2 linked regions of the Coturnix japonica genome follow. The protein of the gene in region 1 purifies or fractionates together with the protein of each later gene. This does not show direct contact. Links are inferred from orthologs where the notes say so. Each region holds a gene or a part of one and is shown on either strand. Other genes may lie near its edges.

Region 1 (3,916 bases):
TGTCAAGTTACTCATGTATTTATCTGCCACAACAATACACGTCCTCAATATTGAAGTCATTTCTATACACACTCCTTGCCTCATGCACACATTTAGAAGCATTAGAACAAGAAATGCAAATCAGCATTCATGACTTTTTAAGCAAGCTATACTTACGGGCAGAGTTCAACTTCTAGATACTGCTCACTCCTGTCACTCAAGAAAAATGCTTCTACAACTTAAGAAGAGACAAGCTGTCAATGTTTTATACTACTTAGTTGTTTTATTATATTCTAAGCCTTTCACAGTCAATTGTTTTCACAGTGGTTTTTGGCCTGTGCTGTCACTGAGTTTGACTGTGTGCACACCACTGATGCTTTCTAATTCAAGAGCTGTGCATTAATCCCAGCCTTGAGCTTTTTTAAATGCTGTCAACATGATGACAACAGCTCAGTTCTATTTATTGACTGTTCACCATACTGTCAATTGTGTGATGAATACTAGAGTTTCTCTCTTGATTCAACTTTATAGTTGAATACACCACAATGCTCATGGTTACTTAAGGAGCTTTCTTAACCATGCTGGTGGTTACAACCATGTTTTTTGCCAGTGGTCTTTTCCAGAGTGCTCAGGATGAAGCTGTCAGATTAAACAGTTTTCAAAAATAGCCAGAGAAACTTAAATAACGACCAGGTAGATCAATTACAGATGAACATCAGTGACTTCACTAATCAGATACTTGCAGCAGAAGTTACACTTACCTTCATAGTCCCACAGTTTTCTAAAGGGTTTCCCCGCAGCTCCAAGTGGTGCTGGAGGATCATTGAAGAAGGGAGCACTAACTTGCATTAGCAGTCCTGCATTGTAAGGCTTCAATGCAATTGTTACTGGGTCATGGCTCACGGGTAAACCATCCCACGTGTGCTCAATTTGTAGCTCCATCTTAACATTCTGCATAAGATAAATAAGAAAATTAGTTCCAATCAGAGCACATAGCTACCATTCCAACACTGACTTCATTGTCTGCTTGGTTAAGAAAAAAAGTCTCACAGTTAAGTAGGTGAAAAAATAAGCATAAATCAACATTAGTATAGTGAAAGAAATCACGTTCTGGAGGTGTTATGCAGTCCTTACAGGACAGTGATAGGACAAGGGAGGATGATTTTAAGCTCAAGGAGGGAAGGTTTAATTGGATGTGGGGGAAGTAGTGAAAAAGATGAGGTAAATGGATATAAGAACCCAAGATGGTGATGTGAGAAGTATGACAAAGACTGCAGAAAATTCAAAGCAAAGCAACTTCCTCGGAGGAGGGGTTCATAATGCCCACCCAGCACCCACAGCCGACCACCCCCATAGCACACACCGAAGCCCCGTGCAGGCTCGGTCCGGAAGCTTTAAGCCCGGCACGGTACCACCCTCCTCCCCTCCACGTGACCGGCGCTGAGCTCCCCTCCCCGTTATGGGAGGAGCCGGTACCGGCCGTTTCCCAGTCGCGTGGAGGTGGGGGCGAGAAAAACGGGCTGCGGTTACCGGCCCGCTGTGCCCGTCGCACCGGGTGGGCGAGAGGAGCGGTTTCCCTTTGCCCTCCCCTTAGCAGCGCTCACCCGCCGGGGATGTCTTTGGCGTGACGACACGGCCATGGAGCTCGGCAGCGGGGCAGAGCCGGGTGAGAGCTGGGCGGGCGGCCTCGGGGCTGTGCCCGGCCTTGGGGTGGGTGGGCAGCTTTAAATGCAGCTTAAACCAAGCGAGACTTTGACGGCAAAAGAAAATCATTCCTGCCTCAGTGCCCTCTGAGTGGGCGCGCGTTGACTTACCGTATAGTTACCTTACTCTTGTATGTAGCTGCTTGTTTTGTAGTTATGTGACTCTAAGTGGAGCTCAGGGCAAACCTGCGTCTTTCTGAGTGCCAGCCAGCTTCACCCAGCTCACAGTTAGCATTGCATGATCCTCTAACCTGTATTTTTCAGATCCGAAGCTGGATGTGTTTGAGCAGGATGAAGCAGAGGAGGTTTTGTGTAGTGCTGCTGAGGTATGTGAGCTGGGGAGTGAAAGCGAGGTAAAAAGTAACGTTTGAGGTATGCATCTTCATATACATCTGTGTGTGAAACAGTGTTTCAGTGTGGTCTTGCTTGGCTTCAAGCCCCTCACTGAGCTGTCATCAAAGCATCTCCTGGAAAAAAAGCAGTGAAAATTTCCTTCAAATCTGGCCAATGTTCAATGGCTTCAATACCAACCTGAAAACATTTACTGGGGTGTCTGTATATTCTTTTCAACGTAGACAGAATAAACAGCTTTGTTTTGCATACATTAGTATAAATAAAACTAACCCACATGCAGTCATGTACAGGTGCTAAAACACAGAATAATCAGTTACAGAAGAACATCGCTGGAGGTGATGGTGTATCCAGATCCAGGATGATGGACCAAAGGTAACTGATCCCAGTTGAGTGGGGATACTGCTTCAAAGGGAGATTATATTACTTAAATAAGTGTACGAGTAGGACTGTGTTTATTTGTTTAACTTTTTACATCACCTTATAGGTTACTGTGCTGTTGTATTGAAAGCAGTAGGAAAGCCTGGTTTCTAATCTTCCTGGATTGTGATCTATGTATGAAATATAAATGTATTAAAGCTCGCCTAGAAAGCTTAATGCTTAATGATCATACTGTAAAGGTAGTGATGGAAGTTGTTTGCTTGGTGGTGGTGCGTGTTGGGCTTGGAAATAAAGAGAAGCGACGGTTTTGTTCTGTTCTTCAGATCATGAATTCTGTGAAGCTGGTTAATTGTCAGAACAACATTTCAGCATTTACAGATGGATTCTAAGCATGTTTTTCCATGTTTCAGCTTGATAACAAAGAGCGTAGAGTATGAGAAGTGCTTGGAAGAAATGAGGGAGCAGCTGCAGATTTATCAGGTATGTTTCTGGCATCCTGTGACTTTTCCTGCAAAACAAAGTCTTAATGTCATGGATGGCATTGTGCTGAACTAACCTTGTCAGTGTTTTCAGTATTGCTCATTGAAATAAGAAGTTGCCGCCGTTTGCCACAAAGCTGTTTTTTTATTAGGTGCAAATGAGTGAAATGAGACAGAAATTTGAACAAGTCACCATGGAAAACAGAAGGTAAATAAGTGCACTGAACTACTGCTGCTATTTTTCATGTGGGTTTTTTTTTCTGTCTCTTAAATCTTAAACTCTTTTTCCTAAGGCTTGGGAATGTTTGAATCCGCTTAATAGTTGAAGATTTCATACTCGTGCTTAATGTTACTCTAGGTGTTTAATATAGATTACAGCACCAACTTCGGAGGCTTAGCCATATCTCTGCAAAAGAACTCGGTATTAAACTATTTATAACCCTTTTCATAGAACATATCTTGCTCGATATATTTAAACGTGAGCCAGGGATGTATGGTACATACAAACCAAAGGCACGGTACCTCAGTTAGTTTATAAACATTGCATTAAATACTTTGCTGAACTTAGTCCTTTGCATTTCAGGCTGCATGCAGAGTTGAAAGAGGCTCTTGAGATGCAGCTGGATGCTCTTCCTTTCACGCCGCTGGGAACTGCTATTCCTGCAGATGAAGAAATACTGAGAAACCTTCAGGAGCAACTACAACTCGCAAACCAAGTGTGTGAGATGAAACGCTTGTACTTTTCTATTTCTTCTGCCCCTTGGCAGATTAGGGAAGGATAGTTTATTTCTTGGTTCAGAATTGGTTTATAACAGATCCCTGACAGCATTTTGAGGCCTTCCTGATGGTGTGGATCTAAAGAAAACCTCAAGCACACCCGTACTTATATTTTCAACTTCAAAACCTGAAGGAAGTCCCTCTCTAGTTTCATACAAGTAGGAAGATTTTATGTTAATTAGTGCCTCTGATTTTTACCTTGTTGAATTTCTGTCCAGAACGTGAAGCAAATGTTTTGTTGGGTTG
Region 2 (3,916 bases), on another chromosome or scaffold:
CAAGGGGCATAAGGTGGGAAATACACTGGAGGGGCCAGGCGACAGCTCCTCAGGACCCCTGGCCTCATGTTTGCTTGGCACTGGGTCACCATCAGCAGGGCTGGTGTGGGCTGTGAGACAAACCATGCGGTCCTACAGGTCCCATCTCTGAGACTGGACAGTTGATTCCCTTTCCGCAGAGACCTGGAAGTCATGGTTGGGGGAATAACATTTTCCAGTAGGTAAATATAATATACGTTCAGAGCTTCTGATGGCAATAGAAGCGTTTGAAAGTTTTGATATTATTTTAGCAAGCACAAATATTTTCCAAAGCAGTTTAGTCTTCCAGAACCAAGCCTGGTTTGTCACCAGTACGGCCCTGACAAAGCCAAATTCTTTGCCTGTTTTGAAAAATAACAAAATTGTAGTATATGAAAAGTGTTTTCTTGTTCAAATGCCATGTAGCATTTGACAGTTTTCTGCACCGACAATCAGCGATGCATTCAAAGTATGTGTCAGGCTGACAGGGTGTTTCATGGCTGACATTTGTAAATAGCAAGTTTTTAGTGTCTCACCTCAGTGTCAGAGGGGAGATTATTTACTTTGACGTAGATATTAGCAATACGAGCTCTTGCAAGCAATTTAACTATGAAGCTGCTATGAAAACCTTATTATTTCCAAGCAGCCAAGGAGCGGCTCCAGTTGGAGTGGCAAGACCCCACACTGAGAAGCGGTGGCTGAGGCAGGGTGGCTTCCATCCATATCTTGGGGTTAAAACTATCCAGCTTTGGAAACTCAAGCAAGGCCAGATCTACATTTCTTCTGTTGTCTTTTGTTAAGATGTGAAACAGGGGCTGTGGTGAGGTCTCAATAACACATACTTGCTTTCAATAGCTAGAAGAGCGAGAAAGAACAGTGCACCCTTTATTACGAGTGCGTTTCGTGTGAATTCAATAACAAAAGGCTCCCAAATCTGCAAACACTTTGCATACGGATTTTCTTCAGTAGACAAGCTCTTACACCACCTACAGCCTTCTGTATCTTATAGAGCCATTTATTTATAGTGGATATACAGAGGCTAAGCCAGAGAGTAGTTATGATTATTCAAGTGACAGAAGCTAATTTGGGGGGCATTATAAGTACTGCTGCATCACTCCGGCAGAGGTTCTGCTGTACATTTAAGCTTGGAGGACTGAGTTTAAGGCTGTAGGCAAATGCTGCCCTGTGGGCACAGCAGCTGGAATGGGGTTATCACTGTGGGGGATCATCCCTCTGCTGAGGCTCTGGGGCTGATGAGCTCCGCATCCAGACCCCTCACAGCTCCGCTGCCCTTCTCTGGACACACTCCAGGCCCCATACTGCAGTTAACCACGCTCCAACCCGCAGCTCGACTCCACACACAGCCCCAACCCGCTTCCCTTCCCCCTCAATCCACACAGCGCGGCCTTCCGGGGCGGGGCGGGCGGGCGGCGCGGGGCAGGGCGGGAGCCGTTGCGTTGGCCACGGCCGTAAACAGCGCGGCATGAGCGGAGCGGGCCGAGCATCGGGCCCGGAGGGTTCTCCGTCCCACAGCCGGCAGCTCCGCGGCCTCATGCGGAGCCTCCGAGACAGGTGAGGGGGAGCAGGCCGCGGGTGGAGCTGTGGGGCCGGGTTTGGATGCTGAGGAGAACGAGTGTGGTGAGGCAGGGCTCGGTAGTTGATTCCGTGTCTGGTTCTACGGTGGTTCTTATTGCGTCGTATCCAAGTGCTTCACGGTTCTCTGTGTGTTTGTCTCTACAGGGTGTCATACTGCTCCTCCTGCATTATGGATATGGGGCTGAAGCACTAAGAGGCTGAGGCCTGATATTGCAGGAAGCATTGAGGCATCTTAGTCCTGCTGGTTTAAATGAGAGGTGAGGGATCAGATATCGCTGCAGGTCAATGCCTGGTGGAATGCCAGAGCTTGTAGCTGAGCAGGGAGTTTTAATTCTGCTTTCAAATCCCAAGCTGACCCTCTTTTTCTTTAGGCTGAGGAATCGGGGTTGTTTGAAAATGAGCCACCTGCATCCTTACAAAGTTCAGCAGTTCTTGCCTGTTTGAGAAGGAATTTTATAACTGATCATTTGCTTTAACCTAATGGGAATAAAAATCCCAGGCTGAGAGCTTTGTTCTTCAGGTAAAAAAGGTGATGTAGTAACAGAGCGGCCAAAGGTAACCCTTGTATTCCTTCAGGCTTCACTCCTGTGACTGACACCAAAGTTGTATTAGAACAACTCCAGGGCTTCCACTTCATTGCATGAATAGAGCAAAGCAGCGTGAGCCTTGTGGTTTGCTGTTCCAGGCATTTATAATACTCAGATGCTGAGAGGCTCTCACATGACAGTTGCTACATTTCTCTATCTTCCTTCTAGAGAAGATCTGAATTACATACTCAGGTGCTACCTGTGTATCTGCAGGACAGGCCGGTGAGTGGGATGCTGGCAAAGCACACTGGGAGAAAGAAAGCAATCTTTGATGAACTAACAACGTGCTGCCTATGGTACTGGGGAATGAGAAATAGGAGAGATGCCAATGGCATCTGCTGACTTTTACATCCATCAGGATATCACAGTGTTCTTCATCGAGTCAGGAAAATTACTTCTAGAAGTGTAAAAACAAGATCTTGAAATCTGGTTTTGCTTAGCTGTCCATCATGTAAAAGGAAATTGAAAGGATGAGATCCCAGATGAAGCGTGGCTTTTAAATTGCATACATGACATGAAAACGTAATCTTGCTTCAGACCGTGGCAGGATCAGATGGGTAAAATGGATGCCTTGATCTCACGGGCTGTGGAGGAGGAAGCCTTTCCTTGCTTTCCTCTGTGCAGGGCAGCTGGGAGGAGGTGAACATGTGTGGCTGTGACATGAGGCTGTTCATAGGGGAGCACAGGCACATGGAAAAGCATGCCTAGCCACGTGTGTGCATACAGACTTGTCCACATCACACTCACATGCGCAGCCTTCCTAGCTAGTACAAATGTGTGTTCATTTTTTAATAGAAGAAGCAAACAAAAAAGCCATAAGGAACATGCTTTGATTTAATAACGTGCAGGGTTTACAATGCGAGTTTACTGGAAGCCCTTGACTTTGTTTATTTTTGCTCATGGGATGGTTTCTTGCTGTCAGAAATGGTCCGTGGTTATTAAGTAATATTATCACCGTTATTCATTTCTCCTTCTGAAAACAGAGGGTTTTTTTTCTTAAGCAGCCCTATCCTCCCCGTGGGCCTATGCCCATGTGTGCTTTGGGTATTTAAGTTATGAAATAATTGTGTCTTATCCTATGTGGTATGTTTTCTTTCAGTGAAACCAGAAGGCTACAATTGGAAAGGAAGCTGATGGAATATAAGAGTTCCGATGCATACCTGTAAGCCTGATTGAAAGACTTCTCACTGGTTGTTTAATTTCACTTACAAAGACTTCAATATCATGGAGTGCTTACGGAGTGGCACTCAAGGGACTTCTATAACTGATTTTATATTGATATTTTTAAGTGCAACGGAAGATTCAAGCCTTGAAGTTATTGGTGAAATAGCTTATGACAACATAGCTACCTTGCTATGTTAATACTGAATGTTACTATCTTAACAACTGCACAAAACTAACATGCACGCCAATGTGAAGTCATTGTAGTGTGAAATATAGGAAGTGTTTCCTCTCTCGTGCTCTGTGCTACAGTTATCGTGTCACAGGATGCCTGAAAGTTTTAGGAAGTGATAAAGAATATTCTAGGTTCTAAGTTTGCTCCCTGGATTGTTTCTGCATTATCTCTTTAATGTAAGTTACACACACACACACACACACACACACACACACGGAGCTTAAAAAGCCATGTAGTCTCTTAATAATTGTGTTTTATCTCAAAGCTTCTCCTCTTTTCCTCTCTTCTTTTACACATAAGCCATGAAATTTCTGTCCCA

The links.
Region 2: the proteins of SCLT1 (region 1) and KIZ purify together in Homo sapiens (co-immunoprecipitation; 3 studies listed by BioGRID and IntAct, counting the BioPlex papers as one, with this or other methods). This does not show direct contact. The link is inferred for Coturnix japonica from reciprocal best matches to the Homo sapiens genes SCLT1 and KIZ.

The regions. Positions count from the first base shown.
Region 1 is NC_029519.1:30,028,419-30,032,334, forward strand, and holds the start of SCLT1 (sodium channel and clathrin linker 1), read left to right. Parts: upstream 1-1,533; 5' UTR 1,534-1,617; coding exon 1,618-1,645; intron 1,646-1,946; coding exon 1,947-2,008; intron 2,009-2,316; coding exon 2,317-2,408; intron 2,409-2,824; coding exon 2,825-2,894; intron 2,895-3,045; coding exon 3,046-3,101; intron 3,102-3,476; coding exon 3,477-3,609; intron 3,610-3,916. Other genes in the region: C4H4orf33 (UPF0462 protein C4orf33 homolog), read right to left, coding at 157-217, 741-930, 1,307-1,333. UniProt on the Homo sapiens protein: Adapter protein that links SCN10A to clathrin. Regulates SCN10A channel activity, possibly by promoting channel internalization.
Region 2 is NC_029518.1:4,145,163-4,149,078, forward strand, and holds the start of KIZ (centrosomal protein kizuna), read left to right. Parts: upstream 1-1,443; 5' UTR 1,444-1,501; coding exon 1,502-1,590; intron 1,591-1,758; exon of another isoform or gene 1,759-1,871; intron 1,872-1,985; exon of another isoform or gene 1,986-2,134; intron 2,135-3,300; coding exon 3,301-3,363; intron 3,364-3,916. UniProt on the Homo sapiens protein: Centrosomal protein required for establishing a robust mitotic centrosome architecture that can endure the forces that converge on the centrosomes during spindle formation. Required for stabilizing the expanded pericentriolar material around the centriole.